4 linked regions of the Stegostoma tigrinum genome follow. The protein of the gene in region 2 interacts with the protein of the main gene of each other region in a pairwise test. Links are inferred from orthologs where the notes say so. Each region holds a gene or a part of one and is shown on either strand. Other genes may lie near its edges. The genes, in order: cacnb4a, efhc2, testis-specific serine/threonine-protein kinase 3-like and lonrf1l.

Evidence for each region.
Region 1: the proteins of efhc2 (region 2) and cacnb4a interact in binary tests that used the Homo sapiens proteins (3 or more experiments, as listed by UniProt). The two-hybrid records come from large-scale screens. The link is inferred for Stegostoma tigrinum from reciprocal best matches to the Homo sapiens genes EFHC2 and CACNB4.
Region 3: the proteins of efhc2 (region 2) and testis-specific serine/threonine-protein kinase 3-like interact in binary tests that used the Homo sapiens proteins (3 or more experiments, as listed by UniProt). The two-hybrid records come from large-scale screens. The link is inferred for Stegostoma tigrinum from reciprocal best matches to the Homo sapiens genes EFHC2 and TSSK3.
Region 4: the proteins of efhc2 (region 2) and lonrf1l interact in binary tests that used the Homo sapiens proteins (3 or more experiments, as listed by UniProt). The two-hybrid records come from large-scale screens. The link is inferred for Stegostoma tigrinum from reciprocal best matches to the Homo sapiens genes EFHC2 and LONRF1.

The regions. Positions count from the first base shown.
Region 1 is NC_081360.1:87,471,847-87,479,207, forward strand, and holds the start of cacnb4a (voltage-dependent L-type calcium channel subunit beta-4a), read right to left. Parts: upstream 3,102-7,361; 5' UTR 2,902-3,101; coding exon 2,818-2,901; intron 2,291-2,817; coding exon 2,198-2,290; intron 1-2,197. UniProt on the Homo sapiens protein: The beta subunit of voltage-dependent calcium channels contributes to the function of the calcium channel by increasing peak calcium current, shifting the voltage dependencies of activation and inactivation, modulating G protein inhibition and controlling the alpha-1 subunit membrane targeting.
Region 2 is NC_081365.1:42,803,535-42,811,100, reverse strand, and holds the start of efhc2 (EF-hand domain-containing family member C2), read right to left. Parts: upstream 3,272-7,566; 5' UTR 3,197-3,271; coding exon 3,155-3,196; intron 1-3,154. UniProt on the Homo sapiens protein: Microtubule inner protein (MIP) part of the dynein-decorated doublet microtubules (DMTs) in cilia axoneme, which is required for motile cilia beating.
Region 3 is NC_081377.1:46,954,620-46,962,392, forward strand, and holds the start of testis-specific serine/threonine-protein kinase 3-like, read left to right. Parts: upstream 1-4,771; 5' UTR 4,772-4,929; coding exon 4,930-5,074; intron 5,075-7,200; coding exon 7,201-7,773. UniProt on the Homo sapiens protein: Serine/threonine protein kinase required for spermatid development and male fertility.
Region 4 is NC_081354.1:109,817,794-109,825,339, forward strand, and holds the start of lonrf1l (LON peptidase N-terminal domain and ring finger 1, like), read right to left. Parts: upstream 3,226-7,546; coding exon 2,667-3,225; intron 1-2,666.

The sequences.
Region 1 (7,361 bases), on a different chromosome or scaffold from region 2:
AAGGCAAGGGTCCCAACACCAATATCGGGGAAGCACCACTTTGAATTTGTCTCCAATCTGAGAAATGGCCATCTCTACTTATCATCCGTTACCCAACAACTAATCCATGCTGTCAAAGACACATTAATCCCAAACATTTTTAAATTTGTTAACCAAACTGCCATGTGGCATGATACCAAATGCTTTCTGAAAGTCCAATACACAACATCCACAGCACTGCCCTCACCCATTGTCTGAATCTTCATAAATATAATTCAAAACTATGTACATACATGTAATAAGTTTTCTTTAGCCTATAATACCATAATCACTCAAATGGGAGTTTTCAGGTTCAAAGTATCAAAGTGAGTGGATACAGTGCATGGAATTGTTGCAATTGCTGAGTTCAATAATTTGAATGCAGATTTCTTCCATCACAATGTAGCATTGATGGCCAAGGAGAATCATCTTATGACTGCATCAGACCAAGTCTTCAATGTATAATTCAGCTTGATAGCTGAACAGTGGTGTTTTGCCAGAGCTCCTACCATTTGAATGCATTGTGAAACCAAGGCCCTCAGACAGATATTAAAGATTGATACTGCTAATCAGAAAGAACCACCAAACCCTCCCAATGCCATTTCTGATGTTGCTTCCTCACCCAAAGCTACCATAAATAGATTAATTGCTAATTTGCCTTATTGTTGTTGGTGGAGTATTGCTCTGCGCAAAATGGCTGCTGCATCTCACCTTTACAGTAGTAAATATGGTACAGATTACCTGAGAGCTCTGTGACATCACTGATGACATGATTAGATGCTATATAAATGTGTTCATCAATAAAAAAAAATTTTAAATAAACATTATGATTAAAGATTTGCACTTGTGCACAATATAGCAAAACATAAATGTGAAGAATGCTTCTGTGATTTTCATTCAAAGTTGTGTATGTGTTTAAAAACGCAGTACATCTCTAACACAACTGTTGTAGATTGTAATCCACTTTATTTTAGCGTCTAATCACATCATCAGTTCAAGAGGAACTCAGGATAAGCAGTAAATGCTGACAATTTCACTGACATCCCATGAATGAATAAAAATATTCATTTTCACAAATGTCATTTTCTCAATCTGCCCAGCAGCATGGAATCATGAGGGTGGTAACATACTAAACTCTAGGCATGTCACAGCTTAGTGACACAAGTATATTCAGTATAGATTCTTGATCTGAACGTAGAGCAGCAGCAACATTTCTTAATCTGGAACATTACAGTTGTTAGAGCAGAGAAGCTCATTCCAGAGTGTTCCTGTCTGGCATAACTTTTTTTTGGCAATACTCATTTCAGACGGTTGTAAATGGGGTCATCCACTTTTCGACCTTTTGCGTTTAGTCATGACATTAAGCCAATCAAAGGGAATCTGAAACAAAAAATCACCACCGCTCCTAGCTGCCCACAAACGCCTCCTATCCCCAACTCACAACCTTCAAGTCATAGTAGAGTCATACAGCAGTATAGCTTGGAAACAGACGCTTCGGTCCACTCATTCATGCTGACCATATATCCTAAATTAATCCTGTCCCAATTGCCAGCATGTAGCCCATATCCTTCTAAACCCTTCTGCTTCATATATACATCCAGATGCCTTTTAAATAGTGTAGTTGTACCTGTCTCCACCACTTCCTCTGGCAACTCATTGAGAGTCAAAATTATCTCTATCAATCAACAAAGTCACATCTCTAAATCCGAAACCCTTCTTCAAGCTTGTAATCATTATGCTATTAGTGATGACACTAATGGATAATGCTAATTAGACCCAATTTATATTATAACAGCTTTCTCAGATTTAAATAAAAGGCTTTAATGGAAAGAAAATAGAACGTGCTGGCAAAGTCAATATATCTCCTTATCAAAAAATATAAATTGTGCCATATTTAAATTTCTTCAGGGCTAAATAGGCTATCAAGTGTCACAAAGCTGCAATGTCACGGTGGTAGTACTTTTAATTAATGGGTTCAAAAGTTCAGGAATCGCTGTCATGAGCATTTACCGAGGATTTTCTGCTGACGAAGTCCACGAAGTGCAGGGAGAAGAATCCTAGTCTTTGCTTAGGTCCCCTGATACACAGTGGTAACGTCCCTACCTCTCGTCCAGGGGATCAGGGCTCAAGTTCCGCCTCCTCAGGAAAGGTTGATTGGAAAACATCTATCGTGCCCTACCTGTCGGAGAATGAAGCTGGTGGAAGTTGTCTCGGACGATGTGCTTCCATCGGAACGTTTCAACCTGCTCCTCCTCCTGTTCACCCGGGTCAACTTGCCGAACATGGGAGGAGGGAAGAGAAAGGGGATACGTGAATGAATTGCTGCTCGATTTAACTGTCAAATCATATAACATTGAATCAGTGGGCCGTAGCAATAACATACAACGCGTTAGAAAAAATGAACTGTCTTTTCTAATAAAAAGGAATCAGCCTTACAGAATTAATTTGCAAAAAAAGTTTCTCTTTACAATGAGAGGGGAAACCTTAGAAAAAGAGAAGTTGCATTCCTTATCTGAGCGTGCTCACGGAATGGAATAATTAAAAGTAGCACTTTTTTGATTATTTCAACATCAGTTCACGCTCCTGTTTAGGCTACGGTCATGCAAAATAAATCACAAATTGGCGTGCAGGAGAAAGGAGCCTGTCAACCCCCCCCCCCCCTAACAATTTCAGAAACGCAAACAGAAATTGCTGGAAGAGCTCAGCGGATCTGGCAGCATCTGCAGACAGGAATCAGAATTAAGGTTTTGGGTCGAGTGACCCTTCCTCAGAGGTTAATAATTTGAGGCAATCCCTTACCTGAAAGATGGGCGGCTGTAGCCCATCGCCTGGAATGTCTTTGGTGAATAAAGGTCCAACTCCGGACATCTTCAGATAGATCATGAGCTCGGGACGCTGCTGGAGCTGCTTTAGCTGGAATGAGGGATCCAGTCCATCGAGCTGGCGCTACTCCAGCCCCTGGTGGCTCTCACTAGCCGCTGGAGCTGGCCATCGAGACGTGCTGTCTGGCTGATGGAAGAGGGAGGGGTGAGTTACCGTACCCACCGTCTGATCCCTACACCTCCCACCCCTCCCCCTCAGGAATTCACTCAGTCCCAGGCACGGCCGTAGCTGCCCTCACCACCCCCACAGCCCCCTGCAGCCAGTCAGGAAGGTGTCAGGAATTATAGGAGGAAACCGGGGCGAGAAATATATCCGCCTAGGGAGGGGGAGGGATGACAGGAGGAGGGGTCAGTAATGCAGCGAGGAAAATTAGGAACCGGGCTGGGAAGAATGACCTTGTGCAATCTGGCCTCCTGTCCGCGGAGATGTGCCTGGTGTGTTCAACGCAGTTTGTACAGTCAGGGCTGTTCACCTTCGGGGAGCTGGCGGGGAAATTACAGCCTTTTTTTTCCTCCTGTGCGAAAGACGTCCCAATCTAACGACTGCAGCAAACGCATCGTTTTTTTGGATCATTTGCACCGCCAGGAAGAATTACGAGTGGCAGGTCATCATGTTTGTAATTATTACCACGAGTCTTTATTATAGAGAAGTGCAGATTAAATAATCTCAGCGCCTCGGCAGTGCTCAGGTGCACAATGTTTGACACATGGCTGTGCATTTCCTGAACTATCCCTGGCGTGGATTTAAAATCCATCCCCCCCCCCCCCCGCTACCTACAGAGGAACGGTCACTCCATTCGAAGCGTTCATTCTGATTTCTCGCCACAGAAGCTGTCAGACCTGCTGTGCTTTTCCGGCGATTTCTGGTTTTGTTTTTTTTTGGGGAAAAAATGAAGCTACTTTATTCCATTTCAGGACGGTGACACCAGTTGATCTTTCCAGGGACAGTATCTGCATATACAGCAATGATACAATAACAGAAAGCGATTGTGCCAGTTTCTGAACTTTTCAGAACCCCAGTGTCGGCGCTTCAAAACAACACGACGAGCAGGAGAAAACCGGCGTTCACTTTTTTTTAATTTGAATTTATGCATTCCCATATTGACGCGGTTGCCACTGAGGCCAGCATTTATTATCCACCTCCAATTGTCCCCGAACTGAGTAGCTTGCTAGGTCATTTCACGGGGTAGTTAAGAATCCGGAGTCACATCTGGCCCAGATTTTTTTCCTCATTTTCATTCACAGAGTGTGCACTCCACCGACTGGATCCGTGTTTATTGTCCATCCCTAATTGCCCAGAATTTGCTTAAAAGTCAAACACATTGCTCTGGGTCTGGAGTCACATGTGGGCCAGACCGTGTAAAGATGGCAGTTTCCTTCCCTCAAGGACATTAGTGAATTTTTTTTAACCCCCAAACAATCATCATGGGATCCTTAATTCCTTTTTTTTAAAGAGTTGAATTCACCTACCACTGCAGGATTCAAAACCAGATCTCAGGGTTTGGGTCATTGGATTAGTTGCCTACCATGACCACTAGGCCTTCACCTCCCTATTCAGGTAAGATTGACATAAACATACCTTCCTTTCTTAAAAGACTCTATGACCATCGCTGATCATCACTTTGGTTTCAGTTTCACGTTCGCAATCCACCTCCACATCCCTGAGAGACTTGAGACATGCCTATTCGCAGCCTTAAGAATATTGGTGCATGTATTGATACATGCACAACCCTCTGAGTTAGTGAATTCAACAGATTCAGAGCCCTTTCAGTGAAGCTATTGCACCTCATCTCAGTTTTAAACAATTGGCCCCTTGCTTTTAGGCTCTGTTCCTAGTTCTCTATTGCTAGGTCAGGAAAAAACAGCTGCCAGCATCTGTCAGTCTAACTTATGGTCTTGAACATTTCATTGCATTCACCTCTCTTTTGTCTAAACTCCTGAAAGCGTAGAGTCAGACAGTCATAGACACGTACAGCTCAGAAATAGACAATTGGTCCAACTTGTCCATGCCAACCAGTTACCTTAAATTAATCTAGTTCTATTTGCAAGCATTTGGCCCATATCCCTCTAAGCCTTCTTATTCACGTATCCATCCAGATGCCTTTTAAATGTTGTGATTGTACTAGCCTCGACCACCTCCTCTGGCAGCTCATTCCATACACGCACAACTCTCTGCATGAAAAAATTGCCACTTAGGCCCCTTTAATATCTTGCCCCTCTCATCTTAAGTAAATGCCCTCTCTGATGAAGGGTCCAGGCCCGAAACGTCAGCTTTTGTGCTCCTGAGATGCTGCTTGGCCTGCTGTGTTCATCCAGCCCCACATTTTATTATCTTGGAATTCTCCAGCATCTGTAGTTCCCATTATCTCTTAAGTAAATGCCCTTTAGTTTTGGACTCCCATATCCTGGGAAAAAGGCCTCAGCTATTGATCCTATCCATAACCACCATGATTTTATAAACCTCTAAAAAGTCACTCCCTTAGCCTCTGATGCTCCAGGGAAAATAGCCACAACCTATTCAGCCCCTCCCCATGGCTCAAACCCTCCCACCCTGGCAACATCCTTGCAAATATTTTGTGTACCCTTTCAAGTTTAACAACACTCTTCTAAGAGCAGGGAGAGAAGAGTTGAATGCAGTATTCCAAAATGTTTTCAGCCGCTAGAATGAATTCATAGGATTTCTTTTCAATGACTATCAAAACAACATGAGGATTATTGTGTGAAATAGGATAAAAGGGTGTCCATTTGTAACATAAGGATAATTGTGGTCCAGTTTGCTGTAAGTTCTTTGTTGTTCTATATTCCATATTTGAAATTTAAATAGATCTAATAGAGGCCATGGAGTTGGTCATTGTGCTTTAATTTAGGAACACGAACCTTAGCCAGAGTTTTTCTTCTGATCACTACACTTATTAGTACCAGGTGATGATAACTCTCAAGTGTTACAGCATTGCTACCTTTAGAATGTCCACAAGTATGCAATGTTGAAGATCACAAAGGAAGAACGACATTTCTACTGAGCAGGAAAGTACCTGCAGGACAAAACTTCAACAAGAAATCAGTGACTTCAGAAGAGAGATATGCAAAATTTACCACAGAAAATTGGAAAGAAATAAATGGCTAATTAGGACCAAGTTGAGTTGCTTGCCAGCTTGATGCAATGGGAGCTGCAGGTTATCAAAGGTCTGTGATCATCATTCATGCAGGATTTTCATACATGACACTGAACTCTCAAGATTCTGGAATGGGATACCACATTTACTTTGTGTAAAAATATACAGCCTGGGTAGAGTAGGGTGGCATAGTGGCTCAGTGGTTAGCCCTGCTACCTCACGTGACAGGGACCCAGGTTCAATTCCAGCCTTGAGTGACTGCCTGTGTGGAGTTTGCACATCCTCCCTGTGTCCGCATGGGTTTCCTGTCAGTGCTCCAGTTTCGTTCCACAGTCCAAAGATGTGCAGGTTAAGTGGAATTGGCTACACTGAATTGCCCTTAGGGTTAATGCATGTGCATTCCAGTTGGGTTAGCCATGGGAAATGCAGGGTTACAGGGGTGGGGAGTTGGGGTTCTGTGTGGGATGCTGTTTTGAGGGTCAGTGTAGACTTGATGAGCCAAATGGCCTGCTTCCACACTATAGGGATTCTATAATTCTTAAGTTGCTCTGCTTGTAATAGAAGACATAGATTTAAAGTGATGTGTGAAAGCAGCAAAGGTGATGTTAGAAAAACCTGCGCACAGCGAGCAGTTAGGGTATGGAATATAGTGCCTGGAAATGTGATCGAGGCAGTTTCACTTGCAGCATTAAAAGGGCATTGGATGACTATTTAAAATAAAATAGCATGCAGGGGTATGGGGAAAAGCAGCAGATTAACATGCGGTTAAAATTGCTCATTTGACGAGTTGGTGCAGGCACGATGGACCATAGCCTCCTTCTGTGTCATAACAACTGATCATTAAATGATAAAGCACAGTTTTGTGCTGATTGAAAAAGAGCTATCCAGTCTTATCTCAATGTCCAGCTATTAGTCTATACATTTTGGTACCTTAAGTGCAAAATCAATTTTTTGCAGTGAAGACTTCAACTTTAACACCCTTTCAGGCAGTGAATTTGAGATCTCCACCACTCACTGAGTGAACAAAAAATGTCCTCCACTGCTCCCTAATGGTTCTGGGTCTGCCTCACACAACACCAGTTATTGACTTCTCTGCTGAGGGATTTTGGGGGTCTGTGTGGGATGCTGTTTTGAGGGTCAGTGTAGACTTGATGGGCCAAATGGCCTGCTTCCACACTGCAGGGATTCTATAATTCTTAAGTCTGTAGAGGCCTATCACTGCAAAAAATTGATTTTGCACTTAAGGTACCAAAATGTATAGACTAATAGCTGGACATTGGGATTTCCAACCCAGTCTGTAGAGGCCTATCGTAATTTCATGCAACTCAATGAAAACTCTCTTCAGCCT
Region 2 (7,566 bases):
CATGGACTATTTCAGTATCTGTGGTGTCCCAAATCATGTTGAACATTGTACACTCATCAGCAAATATCCCCAATTCTGACCTTTTCATGGAATGTTATTAATAAAATGGCATAGGCGCTTAGACTTAGGATACTATCCTGAGGAACTTCTGTGGAAATGTCCTTGAACTCAGGTGACTAATCTCCAACAACCACAACCATTTTCCTTTGTGCCAAGTGTAACAGTTTTTCCTCTGACTGCAGCTTTATTGGGGTTCCTGGGTGCCATACTTGGTCAAATCCTGCCTTGACATCAAGGCAGTCACTCACTTCACCTAAGGAGATCAGTTCTTCGATCCATGTTTAGACCAAGGCTGTAATGAGGTCAGGAGCCAAATGGACCTGGCAGAACTCAAACTGAACATCAATAGCAGGTAATTGTCAAGCAAGTGCCACTTGATAGTACGGTCACTGATTTCACCATTTTACTAATGATGGAGAGTAGACTGCTAGGGCAGTATTGGCGGGATTGGATTTTCCTGCTTTTTTTGCACAGGATATAACTGGGCAATGCTCCACATTGCTGGGTAGATGCCAATGTTGTAGCTGTACCTGTGTTGTCACTTCACCAGGCTGAAACCTTATTTTTAGGTATGATCGTTGTGGTAGAGTAGAACTTTGCCAGGCAATGAAATTACAGATTGCGGTTAATTACAATTCTACTCACATTACAGAGCTGCTTGATCTGTTCAAGTCCATCCTATTTAAGTGTTAGTGCCTAACAACAGAATGGAGGGTATCTTTGATGTGACTTCATCCACATGACCTCCTTTTTAACTCAAATCGAAAATTTTTCTAACTACCTAGAAATGTGCCTTGATAGACCCATCAGATATGACAAGAGGGGCATGGAGGGAAGCTGTAGGTTTATTAGATATGGAGCATGCATGGGACAATAGATGGAAGATTCCTGATGACTTGGGCAGCGATTGGGGAAGATAGATTGCCTAAGAGAAGAAATGAATGAAGGCATGATAACATTAAAGAATCTAGAAGAAGTAAAGAGAAAAATAAAAGGGGGGTGGTGGGAGAAATATTAGAAACAGAAGCAATGGTTTCGGGTCTTCAGTTCTGTAACAGCAGCAGTAGCAGAATAGTTTTGTAGTCACTTGTAAGTCTTTTAAAAATGTGCTCAATTTCATAGTAGTTAATTCTACCACCTGCTGTTAATACAACACTTTGAATCGACCAAACAGAATATTAAAGCAACTCCTTCTAAAGATAGAATAAGTACAAACCTTCAAAGAGAATGCTCAAATACAAACTAAAATGCAGTTCAGCAATTTAAATGCAAAATCATCTTCAAATCTGTTTCATATAGATTTGATAGTGATACACAAAATTATCATAGTATCACATTTTACACCTCTACCTTTTTTCCTTCTATAATAAAAAAAATCACCTAGTAAAATTTTAACGTTGATGAACTCAAATAATTAGAGGGTTTTGGACACTTGCATAAAGGCAGTATGAAACGGCTTCCGTCTGAAACTCTGCCCTGACAATCAGAAACACAATTATTAACATAAATTGGTGATCCTTGGGCATTGAGACACCCAAAGAAAATATAAATAGGTCATTTAGGCTGAAGAAAGAACTTCAAAAAATTGCACTTTTTCTGTTGTTTTAGAAAGTTATGTTTACTCAATTTTTTTTAGGATAAAAGTGCACCTAGTATCACAAGTCACATTTTCAAATCCATAAGTAAACCTGCTTTATAAAGGTGAGCTTGCCCCTTTCTTCAAAAATAGATTTGTTTATAGGGTGTGAGCCAGCAAGGCCAGCATTTGTTGCTCATCCTGGATTGCTTTCGTGAAGGTGCTGGTGAGCCACATTTTAAATTGCTGAATCCATCTTGTCTGCACTCACAGTACTGTTAGGAAGGGAGTTACAAGATTTAGAATTCCTGACAGTGAAGGATTAGTCATACAGTTCCAACTCAGATGGTGGCTTTGGTACAAATGCAAGATTTTAGAAGAAAGGTCCTGATCCAAAACGTCAACTTTCCTGCTCCTCTGACATTGCCTGGTCTGCTGTGCTCCTCCAGATCCACACGATTATCTCTGAATTCAACATCGGCAGTTCTTACTATCTCCAAGATTTTAGAATATTGTTTTAAACCATCTCCATAGTTTAAGGTAAATTGGTAATGTGATCTGTTTTGTATTCTGTTTGACAACAAGCCTACGTGGTTTCCACAGGGACAGGATTGCACATGTTAAGACTTACTGACAGCAAGGTGCAAGATGTTCATACCTGAAAATAAAGGCTGAAGCAACAGGGCTAACTGTGACAAGACTTTCAGTCTCCATGTTTTTGGGCTGAAAGAAAAGCAGATCTTTAACAGAGATTAAAGATTGAAGTTAGTAAGGTCAGCAGAGTGAAGGCTGTACAAGGCATGAGACAGAAGGAGGAAGGGAGGACTGTCTTGGGTGCAAGAGGCCAATTTAACAGCACTCTAAGTTTAGCACTTGAGGCCAAAAGGAGGAATTGCTGGAGCGGGCTTTGTTGTTGGTGGTCACTTGGGGAATTTCCTGTAAAATGATGGAAGCATCTTTCAACAATCACTCAATGTTATAAAACTGCAAGAAGTGCAGACATGAACCCATTGGAAGTGGGAATTCCAATGGATGACATCTTTTGAATGACAGTTTTCATATATCAAACAGAACACCTATCCAACCCAGTGTTCACTCTACTCATCTCTTCTGTAGGCAGCTGGATAGTTTGGTGTGATCATCTCCAAACAAAGAAACCAGTGCACCACCAGCCCTGAGAATATTCCAGGCCTTTTATTAGTGGTATTTTCAATCATTGTCAGTGCAGTGGTTCCCTCTAAACATTAAGACGCAACTGTGACCACCCTGACAATCTCATACAGTGTTGTGCCAACTAGCCAAAACCCTGCAGGAAGTATTTACTACTCGTGCACAGAAAGTAGGAATAACAATGTTGAATGTTAACAGTATGGAAATTTTTGTTTAAAAAATGAGTTACAAACAAGCAAACATTTACTCCCCGGGGTTTCCTCAAAGGTTGGTGTTGAAGTCAATTTTGAAAGAGAAAACAGTTTCTTAAATGTGTCGATTTTTATTACTTGCAGAGAAGTTACTCACATTCTTGTTGAATGTGTTCCCAGGTAAGAGTGGTAAAGTCATGTTTCCTCTGCTCCAGGCTCTTCTCTATGTTTGAGTCTCCGTTGCCTCGGTGACAGTGACGTCGCTATGCTGGGCCGTACATTCCGCCATTAAAAGAAGGGCTTCAACAAAAAAAAACTTTTTTTGGCAGATTCTTGCGCGGTGAACCCTTCTGTCCCAGTTTCACATTTTTGCTTGCACCGACTTCCATTCAATCCGTTGTTGTTTTTCCTAAATTCGAATGTGTGATGCATTCGACAAACACGACAAGAAATAGTTCGCCATCTTGAGAAGGTCAGCGGCCGTCATTCCTTGGGTCTTAGATAACGAAATGTGAGGCTGGATGAACACAGCAGGCCAAGCAGCATCTCAGGAGCGCAAAAACTGACGTTTCGGGCCTAGACCCTTCATCAGAGAGGGGGATGGGGAGAGGGTTCTGGAATAAATAGGGAGAGAGGGGGAGGCGGACCGAAGATGGAGAGAAAAGAAGATAGGTGGAGAGGAGAGTATAGGTGGGGAGGTAGGGAGAGGATAGGTCAATCCAGGGAAGACGGACAGGTCAAGGAGGTGGGATGAGGTTAGTAGGTAGCTGGGGGTGCGGCTTGTGGTGGGAGGAAGGGATGGGTGAGAGGAAGAACAGGTTAGGGAGGCAGAGACAGGTTGGATTGGTTTTGGGATGCAGTGGGTGGGGGGGAAGAGCTGGGCTGGTTGTGTGGTGCAGTGGGTGGGGGGGAAGAGCTGGGCTGGTTGTGTGGTGCAGTGGGGGGAGGGGATGAACTGGGCTGGTTTGGGGATGCAGTAGGGGAAGGGGAGATTTTGAAACTGGTGAAGTCCACATTGATACCATATGGCTGCAGGGTTCCCAGGCGGAATATGATTTGCTGTTCCTGCAACCTTCGGGTGGCATCATTGTGGCACTGCAGGAGGCCCATGATGGACATGTCATCTAGAGAATGGGAGGGGGAGTGGAAATGGTTCCCTCTCCCTCCCATTCTCTAGATGACATGTCCATCATGGGCCTCCTGCACTGCCACAATGATGCCACCCGAAGATTGCAGGAATAGAACTCATATTCCGCCTGGGAGCCCTGCAGCCTAATTGTATCAATGTGGACTTCGCCAGTTTCAAAATCTCCCCTTCCCCTACTGCATCCCCAAACCAGCCCAGTTCGTCCCCTCCCCCCACTGCACCACACAACCAGCCCAGCTCTTCCCCCCCACCCACTGCATCCCAAAACCAGTCCAACCTGTCTCTGCCTCCCTAACTGGTTCTTTCTCTCACCCATCCCTTCCTCCCACCCCAAGCCGCACCCCCATCTACCTACTAACCTCATCCCACCTCCTTGACCTGTCCGTCTTCCCTGGACTGACCTATCCGCTCCCTACCTCCCCACCTATACTCTTTCCACCTATCTTCTTTACTCTCCATCTTCGGTCCGCCTCCCCCTCTCTCCCTATTTATTCCAGTTCCCTCTCCCCATCCCCCTCTCTGATGAAGGGTCTAGGCCCGAAACGTCAGCTTTTGTGCTCCTGAGATGCTGCTTGGCCTGCTGTGTTCATCCAGCCTCACATTTTATTATCAGGGGACAAACTGGGCTGGTTTTGGGATGCAGTGGGGGAAGGGGAGATTTTGAAGCTGGTGAAGTCCACATTGATACCATTGGGCTGCAGGGTTCCCAAGCGGAATATGAGTTGCTGTTCCTGCAACCTTCGGGTGGCATCATTGTGGCACTGCAGGAGGCCCATGATGAACATGTCATCTAAAGAATGGGAGGGGGAGTGGAAATGGTTTGCGACTGGGAGGTGCAGTTGTTTATTGCAAACCGAGCGGAGGTGTTCTGCAAAGCGGTCCCCAAGCCTCCACTTGGTTTCCCCAATGTAGAGGAAGCCACACTGGGTACAATGGATACAGTTATACCACATTGTCAGATGTACAGGTGAACCTCTGCTTAATGTGGAAAGTCATCTTGGGGCCTGGGATAGGGGTGAGGGAGGAGTTGTGGGGACAAGTGTAGCATTTCCTGCGGTTGCAGGGGAAGGTGCCGGGTGTGGTGGGGTTGGAGGGCAGTGTGGAGCGAACAAGGGAGTCGCGGAGAGAGTGGTCTCTCCAGAAAGCAGGCAGGGGTGGGGATGGAAAAATGTCTTGGGTGGTGGGGTCAGATTGTAGATGGCAGAAGTGTTGGAGGATGATGCGTTGTATCCGGAGGTTGGTGGGGTGGTGTGTGAGAACAAGGGGGATCCTCTTTGGGCGGTTGTGGTGGGGGCGGGGTGTGAGGGATGTGTTGCGGGAAATGCGGGAGACGCGATCAAGGGCATTCTCGACCACTGTGGGTGGAAAGTTGCAGTCCTTGAAGAACTTGGACATCTGGGATGTGCGGGAGTGGAATGCCTCATCGTGGGAGCAGATGTGGTGGCGGCGGAGGAATTGGGAATAGGGGATGGAATTTTTGCAGGAGGGTGGGTGGGAGGAGGTGTATTCTAGGTAGCTGTGGGAGTCGGTGGGCTTGAAATGGACATCAGTTACAAGCTGGTTGCCTGAGATGGAGACTGAGAGGTCCAGGAAGGTGAGGGATGTGCTGGAGATGGCCCAGGTGAACTGAAGGTTGGGGTGGAAGGTGTTGGTGAAGTGGATGAACTGTTCGAGCTCCTCTGGGGAGCAAGAGGCGGCGCCGATAAAGTCATCAATGTAACAGAGGAAGAGGTGGGGTTTGGGGCCTGTGTAGGTGCGGAAGAGGGACTGTTCCACGTAACCTACAAAGAGGCAGGCATAGCTGGGGCCCATGGCCACCCCCTTAGTCTGTAGGAAGTCCACTCCCGCATATCCCAGATGTCCAAGTTCTTCAAGGACCGCAACTTTCCACCCACAGTGGTCGAGAACGCCCTTGACCGCGTCTCCCGCATTTCCCGCAACACATCCCTCACACCCTGCCCCCACCACAACCGCCCAAAGAGGATCCCCCTCGTTCTCACACACCACCCCACCAACCTCCGGATACAACGCATCATCCTCCGACACTTCCGCCATCTACAATCACGACCCCATCACCCAAGACATTTTTCCATCCCCACCCCTGTCTGCTTTCTGGAGAGACCACTCTCTCCGTGACTCCCTTGTTCGCTCCACACTGCCCTCCAACCCCACCACACCCGGCACCTTCCCCTGCAACGTAGGAAATGCTACACTTGCCCCCACACCTCCTCCCTCACCCCTATCCCAGGCCCCAAGATGACTTTCCACATTAAGCAGAGATTCACCTGCACATCTGCCAATGTGGTATACTGCATCCACTGTACCCAGTGTGGCTTCCTCTACATTGGGGAAACCAAGCGGAGGCTTGGGGACCGCTTTGCAGAACACCTCCGCTCGGTTTGCAATAAACAACTGCACCTCCCAGTCGCAAACCATTTCCACTCCCCCTCCCATTCTTTAGATGACATGTCCATCATGGGCCTCCTGCACTGCCACAATGATGCCACCCGAAGGTTGCAGGAACAGCAACTCATATTCTGCTTGGGAACCCTGCAGCCCAATGGTATCAATGTGGACTTCACCAGCTTCAAAATCTCCCCTTCCCCCACTGCATCCCAAAACCAGCCCAGTTCGTCCCCTCCCCCCACTGCACCACACAACCAGCCCAGCTCTTCCCCTCCACCCACTGCATCCCAAAACCAGTCCAACTTGTCTCTGCCTCCCTCACCTGTTCTTCCTCTCACCCATCCCTTCCTCCCACCCCAAGCCGCACCTCCATCTCCTACCTACTAACCTCATCCCACCTCCTTGACCTGTCCGTCTTCCCTGGACTGACCTGTCCCCTCCCTACCTCCCCATCTATACTCTCCTCTCCACCTATCTTCTTTTCTCTCCAACTTCGGTCCGCCTCCCCCTCTCTCCCTATTTATTCCAGAACCCTCACCCCATCCCCCTCTCTGATGAAGGGTCTAGGCCCGAAACATCAGCATTTGTGCTCCTGAGATGCTGCTGGGCCTGTTGTGTTCATCCAGCCTCACATTTCAATATTTTGGATTCTCCAGCATCTGCAGTTCCCATTATCACTCATTCCTTGGGTCTTGATGGTTCATATTTTGTTATAGTCTCCATCCGTATTAATTGGCAGTCGCTGCATCCTCTTCCAAATTATCCGGCTCTTGCTCATGCCTCCAGATTCCGTTTTTACCTGACTTGCTGCTGAAGCAAATAATACATTGCTCCTACCTCCCATCGATAGCTGAGATTAAAACTAATAAAAAGTTTGGAGCAACTATTTGCATAGCGCCTCTAACCTGAAATTGTCCCAAGAATTCTCAGCAAGGGAAGAGAACAGAAGAGCTCGAAGAGTGGCAGTTAATGAGGATTTAAAAGGAAGGTGGAAGTATACAAACCTGGGTGTACTG
Region 3 (7,773 bases), on a different chromosome or scaffold from region 2:
AGGAGGGAGAAATGCAAGAAGTCTAACTAGGAACGCAAACATGGATAGCAAACGTTTCCACAGAAAATTAAAAAGGAAGAGACCAAATAAAGTGAGTAATGGTTCTCTAGAAAGAGAATGCTGTGTTAATATTGGTTAAAAGGTGGCTCAGTGGTTAGCACTGCAGCCCCACAGCGCCAGTGGTCCGGGTTCGATTCCAGCCTTGGGTAGCTGTCTGTGCAGAGTTTGCACATTCTCCCCGTGTCTACGTGGGTTTCTTCCGGGTGCTCCGGTTTCCTCCCACAGTCCAAAGATGTGCAGGCTAGGTGGATTGGCCATGCTAAATTGCCCGTAGTGTTCAGGGGTGTGTGGGTTAAAGGGGGATGGGTCTGGGTGGGAAGCTTCAAGGGGCGGTGTGGACTCGCTGGGCCAAAGGGCCTGTTTCCACACTGTAGGGAATCTAATCTAATATAAACAAGGACATAGCAGATGAAATTAACAAACATTTTGGGTCAGTCTTCACTATAGGTCATAAAAACATTCCAGTAACATCTGCTAATGCGGAAATGGAAGGAAGGAAGGAATTTATTGAAATTACAACCACAAGGGAATGGCACAAACCAAACTAATGGAATTGTGGGCCGATAGGTTTCCAGGTCTAGATGCATTTTATTCTAGGGTCTTAAAAAAGGTGCTAATGAGGCAATTGATGCATTGGTGTCAATTTTCCAAAATTCACTTGATTCAGGAAAGATTAGATTAGATTCCCTACAGTGTGGAAACAGGCCCTTCAGCCCAACAAATCCTCACTGCCCCTTGAAGCATTCCACCCAGACCCATCCTCCTATAACCCACACACTCCTGAACACTACGGACAATTTAGCATGGCCGATCCACCTAGCCTGCAGATCTTTGGACTGTGGGAGGAAGCCGGAGCACCCGGAAGAAACCCGCACAGACAGTTGCCTGAGGTTGGAATTGAACCCAGGTTCCTGGGGCTGAGGCTGCAGTGCTAACCACTGAGGCACTGTGCCATTTAAAGGTACCATCAGACTGAACGCCCTCCCGCCCCCATTTATGAACAAGAGGCAGAAAACTATAATGCAGTTGTTACCTTGCTGTCTGTCTTGGGAAAGGTGATAGGCCCAACTGTTTCATGTAGCTGCACACTTCGGAAAATTCTAGTAATCAGGAAAAGTTGGTGTGTTTTGCTGTAAAGGAAATTATGTTTAACCAATCTATGGGTGTTCTTTATTCTATAGGAAAAGGGAAGCTTGCCACTTTACTGTTCTTGGATTTCCAAAAGGTTTTTTGATGGAGTGCAACATCAAAGGTTAGTATGCAAACATAGCACATAATCAAAAAGGCTAATAGGATGTTATTATTTATTGCACGAGGAATTGAACATCAAAAAATAAAGGTATTATGGTTCAATTATATAGGGCAGTGGTAAGACCACATTTTAAATACAGAGCCAATGTAGACACGATGGTCCAAATGGTCTACAGTGTTGTAACTCCTCTGTGATACTGTGTGCAGTTGTGGTCTTCATTTTTAAAGATGGATATAAATTGATTGGAAGTGTTTCAAAGTATGTTCACTAGATTGATACCTAGAACTTGTAGATCGTCTGAGGAAAGTTTAAACAGGCTGAGCTTGTTTCCACTGGAGTTTGGAAGAGTGTGGAGTGACTTTAGACAAGGAAAGGAAGTTTCCACTTGTGGGTGGATCCCGAACAAATAGACACTATTTTAAACTCAGGGTTCACCCTTTCAGGGCAGCGATCAGGGGACTTTGTTTTTCTCTTAGAAGTCTGTGTGACTTTGGAACTCTCCATTAGAGGCAGAGTGATTGAATATTTTAGAGAAGGTCAACAGATTCTTGGAGGTAGGGAATCAAGGGTTTTTGGGAGTAGCTGGGAATGTGAAAACAAATAGGCCATGATCGCATTAAATGATCTAGCAGGCTTGAGGGCTGAATGGTCTACTTCTACTCCTGCTTTCTATGTTGAGAAGGGACTGATGGTGTAGTGATTGGTCTGGTAGAATTTTTATTCATAATACATGTCAGATTAGTACTAGTGTTACAGCCACAGAGGGGGCCATTACTGCTTCCAGCATGCTCAGGCACCAATTAATATCATAGTAAGGCAATCAGATTAGGTGAAGATTGGCATTTGTGGTCGTGAGGACCTCAGGAAGAGACTGAGATGAATCATCAACTTGACATTCCTGGATTAGGAGGATTTCAAATGTTACAGCCTTTTTTTTTATACATTTGTGCAATCTTCATTGAATTTCCAGATGTGTGTATGTGGAGCTCATTCCCCTGGCAGCATATGACTGTTGCTCCTTCCAGTGGGTGTGTTCTGGTGGTGGGGCAGGGCTTATGCAGGCATAGTGGTGGTAGTGTCAGGGACATAAGGTGTAGGTAATAATTGCGAGTGAAACTGTTGCTTGGCTGGTCTGTAGAACAGCTCTCCTAATTCTTTATAGATGTCCCCAGATATTAGTAAGAAGAATATCGCAGGTTTGGCTGGGTAGGGTATGTCTGAAAACAATGCTAAATGGTCAACATGTTTTATTCTTGAATGTTACTGGTTTAGTGAATTGTACCAACTTAATAGAGCTAAGCGGTTTGCTGATGAAGGGTGTAAATCTGCAATGTTGACTTTCCTGCTCCTCTGATGCTGCCTAACCTGCTGTGTTCATCCAGCAATATTCTATACGTGCCTTCCTGCTCCTAAGATGCTGCTTGGCCCGCTGTGTTCATCCAGCTCCACACCTTGTTATCTCAGATTCTCCAGCATCTGCAATTCCTACTATCTCCGAAACAATTTTAACCACATCATATTGAGTGGTTTGCTGGCAGTTTAGGAACAAAGAAGCAAAGATTACATTATTCACCTGGAGTCATGTGTAGCCCAGACTCTGTAGCACAGATTTCCTTCCCTCAAAGGCATGAGTGAACCACGGAGGTTCTTTATAAATCCAGTAGTTTCATAGTCATTATTAAGATTAGCTTTATATATTTAAGATTTATTCAGTTAATTGAATGAAAACTCTCCCTGAATCAGCAGTGCAGTAACTGCCATCATCTTTGTCACATTTGCGTCGCAATAGCATAGACATTTTAATCAAATTTTCCAAAACTTCAACTATTGAGCTATTTGTAATTACAACTGTCCCTGGTAATTTCACAATCCTGATCACTCGACATTGTATTGCGGATGGTTTCCAGGAGAGCTATCTCAAACACAACATGAAGACAACCGTGAGAGTCTAGCGTGTGATCCTCGCTGCTGCTGTCTGTAAAATGACCCTGTTCCTCTCCGATATCAAAGGAGCACCAGCTTCCAGAAAGAAGCGGACCAGCAAAAACTTGGCAGTCGGCAATCTACATCCCAAACCAAACATAGAACATAACAGCACAGTACAGGCCCTTCGGCCCTCGATGTTGGGCCGATCTGTCATACCGATCTCAAGCCCATCTAACCTACACTATTCCATGTATGTCCATACGCTTGTCCAATGACGACTTAAGTGTACCTAAAGTTGGCGAATCTACTACCGTTGCAGGCAAAGCATTCTATTCCCTTACTACTCTCTGAGTAAAGAAACTACCTCTGACATCTGTCCTATATCTTTCACCCCTCAATTTAAAGCTATGCCCCCTCGTGCTCGCCGTCACCATCTTAGGAAAAAGGCTCTCCCTATCCACCCTATCTAACCCTCTGATTATTTTATATGTCTCAATTAAGTCACTTCTCAACCTTCTCTCTAATGAAAACAGCCTCAAGTCCCTCAGCCTTTCCTCGTAAGACCTTCCCTGCATACCAGGCAACATCCTAGTAAATCTCCTGTGCACCCTTTCCAAAGCTTCCACATCCTTCTTATAATGCGGTGACCAGAACTGTACACAATACTCCAAGTGCAGCCACACCAGAGTTTTGTACAGTTGCAGCATAACCTCTTGGTTCCGGAACGCGATCCCTCTATTAATAAAAGCTAAAACACTGTATGCCTTCTTAACAGCCCTGTCAACCTGGGTGGCAACTTTCAAGGATCTGTGTACATGGACACCGAGATCTCTCTGCTCATCTACACTACCAAGAATCTTACCATTAGCCCAGTACTTTGCCTTCCGGTTATTCCTACCAAAGTGCATCACCTCACGCTTGTCTGCATTAAACTCCATTTGCCACCTCTCAGCCCAGCTCTGCAGCTTATCTATGTAACAGCACGGATTTTTCACAAATGGAAAGTTTATCAGTGTACCAATCAAAAAGGACAAGGCTCGAGGTCATATTGAAAAGGAAAATGAACATTATCATGGTGTAGAGTTGGACTAGCTTTCGGGGTGAGAATGATGATGGCAGCAGCGGCGGCTGGACAGACCCCATTCTCTCAGACCGCCCTTGGCGAGGTTTTGAATTGATGTCATCAAGTGGAACGGCGTCATTTTCCCCATTCCTTGGCGGAGCTGACACATGTTGAGCTGTGGTTTGACAGAGATTTCCTGAGTTTGTGTGAGGCGCTGTGCTTTAAGGGACTTGGTGAAGGAAGTTGGCGGGGGGAGAGAGAGGAGAAGGTCCGGAGCTTCCCTTCTCGGCGCTAACTAGAGGCTCCAATCCGAACCAACTAACTGCTTACAACCCAATCCTTGATTTGTTTAAAGACTTTTAAAGCAATGACTATCAGCGAGACAGCTTGAGCAGACAGCACAAAGTCTCCTTAGTAACAGGTAAATTATGGCATCATAATGAAGTCATATTTATATCCACTGGCATGGTTTTGCCTGGGCGGTCACACCCGGGATTGCTATTTTTTTATATAATGTCCGATTTTAGAAATAAGCTGGGAAGCCGAGAAACATTGGGTAGGTTGCGTGGAACTGGCTAAATTGAGGAATGTGATCGTTGAAACTGGTTAAGAAAGTGGATGAGAAGCGATGGAAAAACTGCTCCTGTCTAAAGGATATCAACTTGGGAACACGATCGGGGAGGGGACTTATTCCAAAGTGAAAGAAGCTTACTGCAGAAACCAGCAGAAGAAAGTGGCCATCAAAATCATCAACCGCCAGACAGTACCAAAGGGTAAGGCACACAGCGGCTGAGCAACTTCTTAAAAATCGTCCCAGTTCATTAGCTACGGAATTCACGTCCACCTGATGACGTGCAGCTAATCAGTGAAGCAACCAATATTACATCAGTAGCTTGTGTTCTGCTTCAAGTGCTATGACATTTATTTTATTTTAAACTAAGGTCTGCGCACAGCGAGTAACTCCCCCGAAATGAAGATTTCACCTAGAGTAGAGACTAAGTGGGACCAACTCGAACATCACTTGGAGTCCATACGTTAACTAAAAATACATGACTAATTCTAAATGATTCTCGACTATTCAGAAAAACCCCAACAAAATAAGGCGGAGAGAATTTTTCAGTTTCCACTCACTGTTTAAAAGGGTCTGTTCATTTGGACTTTCACTTTCCAACTCATTTTTTAAATCCCAGGATCAGTAATTCGTTGCACTCAAGTGACCCGCTCCTTTAGTGTATAGCCTCACTTTCCCGGTTTCAAAATTGTTATTCCGGTTGTTGCTAGTATCTCATGAAGTCCGAGTGGCGAGCAAAGCGCCAGCTCTTCCACGACCGGAGGAGATGTTAGGGGAATCCAGCAGGAGTTTTAGATTTAGAGTGAGAATTAAGATTTATTATTCATTACGCCAGTGTGTGCATTGACCGATCAATGATTCATATCCCTTATTTCATAAAATAGCAGTATTTGTTCTGTAATCAGGATATCATTAAATAAAAATAAATTTTTAATGACCAGCAGCTAAAGACAACATATTTAAAAAGTAAACAAAACAGTCAAAACTTTTAAATCTGCAAGTTACCACAATCCCAAAGGACTAAGGGACTACTCTCTCATGAGAGAGAGAGAAAAAGACAACCGAGGGTGGTTTAACATGAGGGGCACCAAGCCTCAGGCGAGGGGACAGGTTGTAAAGGAGAGTTCCTCGTGTCTGATACTTAGAAAGATAAGGCTGCAGCTGTGAAGAAAACATGTTTCGGATCTAAACCTTTCTGCAATGGAAAAGTGGAATTAAATTTGAAACAGCGCATGAACTACAGAACAAGAACAAGAGACGAGGGCGGGGGGAGAAAGTGGTAGAATAAATGCTAAAAGATTTAAGAATGTGTGAACAGCAGGGACAATTCTGAATTAACTAGAATCCAACAACCCAATAGGAAATAAAATAGAAAAACAAATCTAGATTCGGAATTTGGTTCAAGTGTAAAGTAGTCAGTATGATCACCTTTAACATTTTTCCGCCATTTTGCTGGGAGCTAGGGGAGGTAACGTCCAGACAAGGGACGCCCCATTGTATTCCGAAACACAATGTTCATGAGTAATTTCAATAATAAAATGTACAGACAGCCGCTTGGTTGACATACGCAGCCAATGCAGAAACAGAAATGTTACACCTTACTGGCTTCTGTTAGGCTACAATTTCGCAGACGAATTAATCAGGTACTTTTTTTTTTAAATATGCAATTTGAGTTAGTCATTCGATAACTCAAACATTTGTTTACAAGATATTTTCTAACCAGGCAGATGTTATTACACAATTCTGGAGCAGGTCAGCCTTGAGCCTAGGATAACAGTGTGGAGCTGGATGAACACAGCAGGACAAGCAGCATCTCAGGAGCATAAAAGCTGACGTTTCGGGCCTAGACCCTTCATCAGAAAAAAGGGTCTAGGCCCGAAACGTCAGCTTTTGTGCTCCTGAGATGCTGCTTGGCCTGCTGTGTTCATCCAGCTCCACACTTTATTATCTCGGATTCTCCAGCATCTGCAGCTCCTACTATCTCTGATCACAATTTCAGCCTTGGGCCGAGGCCTGGTAACCCGGGAGGTAGGGACATTACCACTGCGCTACAGCAACACCTCAATATTGGGTTTCTTTATATATCTGGATAGGATGTATGCAGCCTTTACACACTCGCGAAAGAAAACAGTTGTTTTTAAATCCATTACTACAATTGGGTGTTACTGGCAAACCCAGCACTAACGGCCAATCCCTAATGCTGCTGAAACCCCTACTCAGAGCAGACCGCACCTAGTCAATAATCAAAGGGTCATGTAAGCAAAATGTTAATCACGTAAGACACACAACAGGCTTCAACCTATAAAATATTGCATTTTCCGTTTCTAGATTTCATCCACAAATTTCTCCCACGAGAGCTGCAAATAGTACAGAACTTGGATCACAAAAATATCATTAAGGTTCACGAAATCTGGGAGAGTGATGATGGCAAGATCTGTATAATCATGGAGCTTGCAGAAGGTGGGGATGTTCTGGAACACATCAAAAAGGAAGGGCCGTTACCAGAAGAACTGGCAAAAACCTTATTCCGTCAACTTGTAGCAGCAATTCGATACTGTCACGACTGTGGTATTGCTCACAGAGATCTGAAGTGTGAGAACACTCTGCTGGATAAAAGCTTCAATGTGAAGTTGGCAGACTTCGGCTTCGCTAAGAATTTCCGGACCGGGACAGCTGAGTTAAGCAAGACATTCTGTGGTAGCACAGCTTACGCTGCACCAGAGGTTCTCCAGGGAGTTCCACATGAGAGCATCAAGAGTGACATCTGGAGTATGGGCATTGTGTTGTACATCATGCTGTGCGGACACCTGCCTTTCGATGACTCCAACATTCCCAAGATGTTGTGGCTGCAGCAGAACGGGGTGGCATTCCCGCAGCACCTGGAGCTGAGCCGAGAATGTC
Region 4 (7,546 bases), on a different chromosome or scaffold from region 2:
ACGTTTCGGGCCTAGACTCTTCATCAGAAAAGGGGGATAGGGAAGAGGGTTCTGAAATAAATAGGGAGAGAGGGGGAGGCAGAGCGAAGATGGATGGAGGAGAAGATAGGTGGAGAGGAGAGTATAGGTGAGAGGTAGGGAGGGGATAGGTCAGTCCGGGGAAGACGGACAGGTCAAGGGGGCGGGATGAGGTTAGTAGATAGGAAATGGAGGTGTGGCTTGAGGTGGGAGGAAGGGATAGGTGAAAGGAAGAACAGGTCAGGGAGGTCGGGATAGGCTGGGCTGGTTTTAGGATGCAGTGGGGGGGAGGGGAGATTTTGAGGTGGGTGAAATCAACATTGATACCATTGGACTGCAGGATTCCCAAGTGGAATATGAGTTGCTGTTCTTGCAACCTATGGGTGGCATCATTATGGCACTGCAGGAGGCCCAGGATGGACATGTTGTCTAAGGAATGGGAGGGGGAGCTGAAATGGTTCGCGACTGGGAGGTGCAGTTGTTTATTGCAAACCGAGTGTAGGTGTTCTGCAAAGCAATCCCCAAAACTCCGCCTGGTTTCCCCCATGTAGAGAAAGCCACAACAGGTACAGCAGATGCAGTATACCACATTGGCAGATGTGCAGGTACACATGTGCTTGATGTGAAAAGTCATCTGGGGCCTGGGATGGGGGTGAGGAAGGAGGTGTGGGGGCAAGTGTAGCACTGCCTGCAGTTGCAGCAGAAAGTGCCGGGTGTGGTGGGGTTGGAGGTGACTAGGGGGAATTCTCTTTTGGCAGTTATTGTGGGGGGTGGGGTGTGAGGGATGAGTTGTGGGAGACATGGTCAAGGGCGTTCTCGACCACCGGCAGGGGGGGGGGGGGGGGGGGGGTGGGGAGAGAGACTTGCGGTCCTTGAAGAACGAGGACATCATTACTCCCAGTTCAGCATGAGAACAGAAGAATAGATTGACTGATTGATTCAAAATGCGGGCATCAGGGCCAGTTCTGCGCAAAGGACACCTCAATAAGATGGTGGACCTGCATCAAAATGGAGCCAAGACTAATATCCTTACAAGGAAAATTGCTATCGCAGTTGGGCAGGGTTTAGACTGGACTGGCAGATGAAAAGGAACCACTGTGGGAAATCACATTGGAGGAAACAAAACTGCAATGGAAATAAAGGGGTAATACACAAAATTACAAAGTAAAAGTTGTGAAAGCAAACATCAAATAGCAGACTGCAAAATAATGTTAAAAAGGCAGAATTAAAGGTACCCTATCAATGTACACATGATTAAAAATAAAGTTGCTGTTTTAAAGACACGAATTCAAGTTAACAGGTATAATTTATTTATTATTACAAAGATGTAACTAAAGGGTAACCAAAATTGGGAATTGCAATTATTCAACATTTCAGAGGCATAAGTGAAAAGACAGATGAGGTGGGATAGTGCTCTTAATGAAGAATGTGATCAGTATAATAGTTAGGAAGGAACCTACATTGAAGGATCAAGGTGTAGGAGAGGTGAGGAGCAGAAATGGACAGCAAATATTGACAAGTTTTTTTTAAAAAAACAGGCCACCAAACAGTACAAGTAGTAACGTTGGGCACAGTAGAAATCAGGACATTAGAAATGTATTTAATGAGAGCGATACAATAATATTGGTTGAATTCAATTATGCATAGACTGGGTAAACCTAATCTGCAATAATAATGAAGAGCATGCAATCTTCCAGCAGTATGATGAAGAAACAACTAGGAGTTGGGATATTTTAAGATTTAGTATTGTGATGAGAGTAACACTGCAGTAGTTCAAGAAGCTAGTTCACCACCACCTGTTCAAGGACAATGATGAGCAATAAAATGATAGGCATTAAGGGTCACTGTCTCAGTCATGTCTTTTTCTACACCTCATGAAGGCAAAAAACATGGTCTGACAAATTCTGGGAAGATGACATTTTCAATCTTGAAAACAAATTACTTTGTTCAGTTTTAATTACTATTGACTTCTCTCAAGCTTGTGATTTGGTCTGGCAATTCCTCTTTCTCGACAGTCATCTCTCCACATTTTTAACTGCCTAGTTGGACGCTTGTTTTCATTACCGTCTGAGAATGCAAGTACAGTATGATCCAGTGCAAATCAAAACTCAAACCGATTAAAAACTGGAAACAGTGATGTCACACAATAGAAGCAACTCTTACTGCCCACTGAATTTTGAAAACGTAAATGATTTGATCACGGTTACCACATTTTACACCACCCCCGACAAACTCCACTTTAACCTATTTGATTGCACGATTATTTCAGAATACAGAAAGAGAAGCTGCAAGAAATGCCCTGGCAAATAAACGGGACTCAACGCAACAAAGTGTCACAGTCACTTCTGAGTAACCAACTGTAAGTACTGTTTACATAACAAGAACACCGCCCTCTTGGAAGGGAAAGGCTGCACGCCTATGAATAACAGAAGTTGTCATTGCTTCATCCTTACGGTCCGAGAGCAGAAATCAAAGTGCAAAAACCGTAAAAGAAACAATACGCCAATCAGTCTCCTGGAGGAGTTGAGTTCTTGGCGGGGGCAGTCTCCATTTATAAAACACACGGTTCCGTTTACACAACGGGAACAGTCAGTCACAGGGAGTGAACCTTAAAGAGACCTCTAAGTACACCAAGTGTCCCCACTCACTCAGTTCCAGTTGCTCCAGCAGGGTCAATGCCTCTGAGAAGCGGCACTGGGCCAGCAGCTCCTCCAGTTTGATTTTATCCCGGGCCAGGCTGACCTCCGCCGGGAACCACTTAGTAATCAAGTGGCTCAGAATGACGTTCGGTCGCAGAAACTGAGCGCTGGCCACCTCCTCGCCACAAGCCGGGCAGCGAGGTCTCCTCCACAGGCAGCGCCGGCACCAGGTGTGCCCACAGCGCAGGGTGACAGGTTCGGCCAGCAACTCCCCACAACAGCCGCCACACTCCAGGAGGCCTTCCCCAGCCGGGACACCAGCTCCGTTTGGGCCGCCAGCTCTTCTTTTGAAGCGGTGCAGGAGACAGTGCACCAGGTCACGCAACTGGTCAGGCCGCAATGACCTTTGTTCCCCAGCCGTGGGCCCAGGCTTCTTCCCGGGATGGACAACGCCGGTGGGTCCGGGAACAAGAGCTCCGCACGGAACCACTGACATCGCTCGAGTGACGGGCGCATGCGTTCTCCGCCCCTCTTGCGGCTGGCACGTGCTCGAGAGCGCAGCTGTCATTGGAGGAGACCGAGAGAGGGGAGAAGGCTGTACAAACAGTACAAAATAACTGCGGCAAAAGTTTCATAACATGGGAGAGGGCGGGGCACGCAGACAGATTACAGTCTGACTGGGTGTAGAACAGCCAGAGTACAGACTGAGTGTGGGTGAGGTCGGCCAGGCAGACAGATTACAGTCTGACTGGGTGTAGAACAGACAGAGTACAGACTGAGTGTGGGTGAGGTCGGCCAGGCAGACAGATTACAGTCTGACTGGGTGTGGCACACATAGAATACAGAGTGTGGGTGAGGTCGGCCAGGCAGACAGATTACAGTCTGACTGGGTGTAGAACAGCCAGAGTACAGACTGAGTGTGGGTGAGGTCGGCCAGGCAGACAGATTACAGTCTGACTGGGTGTAGAACAGACAGAGTACAGACTGAGTGTGGGTGAGGTCGGCCAGGCAGACAGATTACAGTCTGACTGGGTGTGGCACACATAGAATACAGAGTGTGGGTGAGGTCGGCCAGGCAGACAGATTACAGTCTGACTGGGTGTAGAACAGACAGAGTACAGACTGAGTGTGGGTGAGGTCGGCCAGGCAGACAGATTACAGTCTGACTGGGTGTGGCACACATAGAATACAGACTGAGTGTGGGTGAGGTCGGCCAGGCAGACAGATTACAGTCTGACTGGGTGTGGCACACATAGAATACAGACTGAGGGGAGAACAATGTGACGTGTGGGACAGGCAGGTGGACAGAATATAGTGTGACCATGTGGGGCAGTTAGGCAAAGTACCACCTGACTGAGTGTGGGACAGACAAACAAACAGACAAAGGCTGAGCGTGGGACATACACGCAGAGTAGAGACTGACTGAATATGAGACAGACAGAGATAATGGGAACTGCAGATGCTGGAGAAACTGAGATAATAAAGTGCGAAGCGGGATGAACACAGCAGGCCAAGCAGCATCTTTGGAGCACAAAAGCTGACGTTTCGGGCCTAGACCCTTCATCAGAAAAGGGGGATGGGGAGAAGATTCTGAAATAAATAGGGAGAGAGGGGGAGGCAGACTGAAGATGTATAGAGGAGAAGATAGGTGGAGGGGAGAGTATAGGTGGGGAGGTAGGGAGGGGATAGGTTAGTCCGGGGAGGACGGACAGGTCAAGGGGGCGGGATGAGGTTGGTAGGTAGGAAATGGAGGTGTGGCTTCAGGTGGGAGGAGGGGATAGGTGAGAGGAAGAACAAGTTTGGGAGGTGGGGATGAGCTGGGCTGGTTTTGGGATGCAGTGGGGGGAGGGGAGATTTTGAAGCTTGTGAAATCCAACACAAGTCCTCCTCCTGGACACCACCCTCAGGCCTCCTACCCTCCCTTGACCTCTTCATCTCCAACTGCCCTCTAGATATCAATTGCCACAACCTCTCCACCCCTCTCACCCACTCCAACCTCTGTCCTGCAGAACGTGCTGCCCTCCACTCCAACCCCAACCTCACCATCAAACCCGCAGACAAGGGAAGCGCAGTTGCAGTTTGGCGCACTGACCTCGACATCGCCGAGGCCAGACACCAACTCTCCGACACCTCCTCCTACCGCACCCGGATAATGATCCCACCCCCGAGCACCAAACCATCATCTCCCAAACCACTCACACCTCATCACCTAAGGAGACGTCCCACCCACAGCCTCCAACATCATTGTTCCCCAGCCCCGCACTGCCCCCTTCCATCTCCTTCCCAAAATCCACAAACCCACCTACGCTGGCCGACCCATTATCTACGCCTGCCCCTGCCCCCTGAACTCATCTCCAACTCTCTGGCTTCCATTTTCTCCCCCTTGGTCCAGGAACTCCCTACCTACGTCCATGACACCACCCACGCCCTCCACCTCCTCCAGAATTTCCAATTCCCTGGTCCCCAACACCTCATTTTCACCATGGATATCCAGTCCCGATACACCTGCAGTCACCATGCAGATGGCCTAAAGGCCCTCCACTTCTTCCTGTCCCGCAGACCCGACCAGTCCCCCTTCACCGACACCCTTATCCGCCTGGCCGAACTTGGCCTCACCCTCAACAACTTCTCTTTCGATTCCTCCCACTTCCTACAGACAAAGGGGGTGGGCATGGGTACCCACACGGGCCCCAGCTATGCCTGCCTCTTTGTAGGTTACATGGAATAGCCCCTCTTCTGCACCTACACTGGCCCTAAAACCCACCTCTTCCTCCGTTACATTGATGACTGTATCTGCGTCGCCTCATGCTCCCAAGAGGAGCTCGAACAGTTCATCCACTTCACCAACACCTTCCACCCCAACCTTAAGTTCAACTGGACCATCTCCAACACATGCCTCACCTTCCTTGACCTCTCTGTCTCTATCTCAGGCAACCAGCTAGAAACTGATGTCCATTTCAAGCCCACCGACTCCCACAGCCACCTAGAATACACCTCCTCTCATCCACCTTCCTGCAAAAATTCCATCCCCTATTCCCAATTCCTTTGCCTCCGCCACATCTGCTCTGAGGATGAGACATTCTACTCCTATACACCCCAGATGTCCTCGTTCTTCAAGGACCGCAAGATCCCCCCACTGTTGTCGAGAACGCCCTCGACACAGTCTCCTGCATTTCCCGCAACTCATCCCTCACACGCCATTCCCGCAATAACCGCCAAAAAAGAATCCCCCTAGTTCTCACATACCACCCCACCAACCTCCGCATACAACGTGTCATCCTCCGACACTTCCGCCATCTACAATCCCACCCCACCACTAAAGACATTTTTCCATCCCCACTCTTGTCAGCCTTCTGGAGAGACCACTCGCTCCGGGACTCCATTGTCCGCTCCACACTTGCCACCAACCCCAGCACACCCGGCACTTTACCCTGCAGCCGTAGGAAGTGCTACACTTGCCCCCACACCTCCTCCCTCACCCCCATCCCAGGCCCCAGGATGACTTTCCACATCAAGCAGATGTTCACCTGCACATCCGCCAATGTGGTATACTACATCCGCTGTACCCGTTGTGGCTTCCTTTACACTGGGGAAACCAAGCAGAGGCTTGGGGACTGCTTTGCAGAACACCTATGCTCAGTTCACAATAAACAACTGCACCTCCTAGTCGCGAACCATTTTAACTCCCCCTCCCATTCCTTAGACGACATGTCCATCCTGGTGCCACCTGCAGTGCCATAATGATGCCACCCGAAGATTGCAGGAACAGCAACTCGTATTCCGCTTGGGAACCCTGCAGCCCAATGGTATCAATATCGATTTCACAAGATTCAAAATCTCCCCTCCCCCCAGTGCTTCCCAAAACCCACCCAGCTCATCCCCGCCTCTCTAACATGTTCTTCCTCTCACCTATCCCCACCTCCGACCTCAAGCCACACCTCCATTTCCTATCTACTAACCTCATCTTGCCCCCTTGACCTGTCCATCCTCCCCGGACTGACCTATCCCCTCCCTACCTCCCCACCTATACTCTGCTCTCCACCTATCTTCTCCTCTATCCATCTTCAGACCGCCTCCCCCTCACTCCCTATTTATTTCAGAATCCTCTCCCCATCCCCCTTTTCTGATGAAAGGTCTAGGGCGAAATGTCAGCTTTTGTGCTCCTAAAATGCTGCTTGGCCTGCTGTGTTCATCCAGCTCCACACTTTGTTATCTTGCAGACTGACTGCGTTTGGGACAGTCAGGGAAAATACAAACTAACTGCCTGGGTTATAGGCTGACTAACAGAATGACTGAATGACAGACTGACAATTTGACAGAGTGACTGATGGTATGTCAGGGTACCTCAGCCACGGGTCTCCAAATCATTCTGTTACTGCAAAGATCATGGGTGCTCACCACATTTCAGAAGTAGTACTTGGAGGGGCAAAATAGTCCATGCCTGCTTACAAAATGGCATACAGAAGCTTTTCAAAACTAAGCAGCCTGTTCACACAATGATATACGATGGTACCTTTGAACAAAGCAGACAGAAGGTCAGTAAAGGAATGCTGTGTGCTCCCATCTGAGGAAGCTCTGATAAAAGGATGCCTAAGGACAGATAAGTGACTAATTTTAACCTTATTTTAAAAGGATGGTTGTTCCAGTAAATGAATAGCATGAGGTCCTAGATTAAGTCCCTCGGCAACTGCAAAAGTAAACAGCTAAAGTTACTTTGTAGTAAATAGTTGCTTCTTTGAAACTATCTGCAATATTAAATAGACTCTAGTTTAAGTATCCTTAATCATAGAAGTAGTTTTCAATATATAAACAACGTATAATGTAAGCATTAGCGGAAAAGCGTTTAAACCTAGATGTGAAAGTTAATTAGGCTCAGGAAACACTTAATC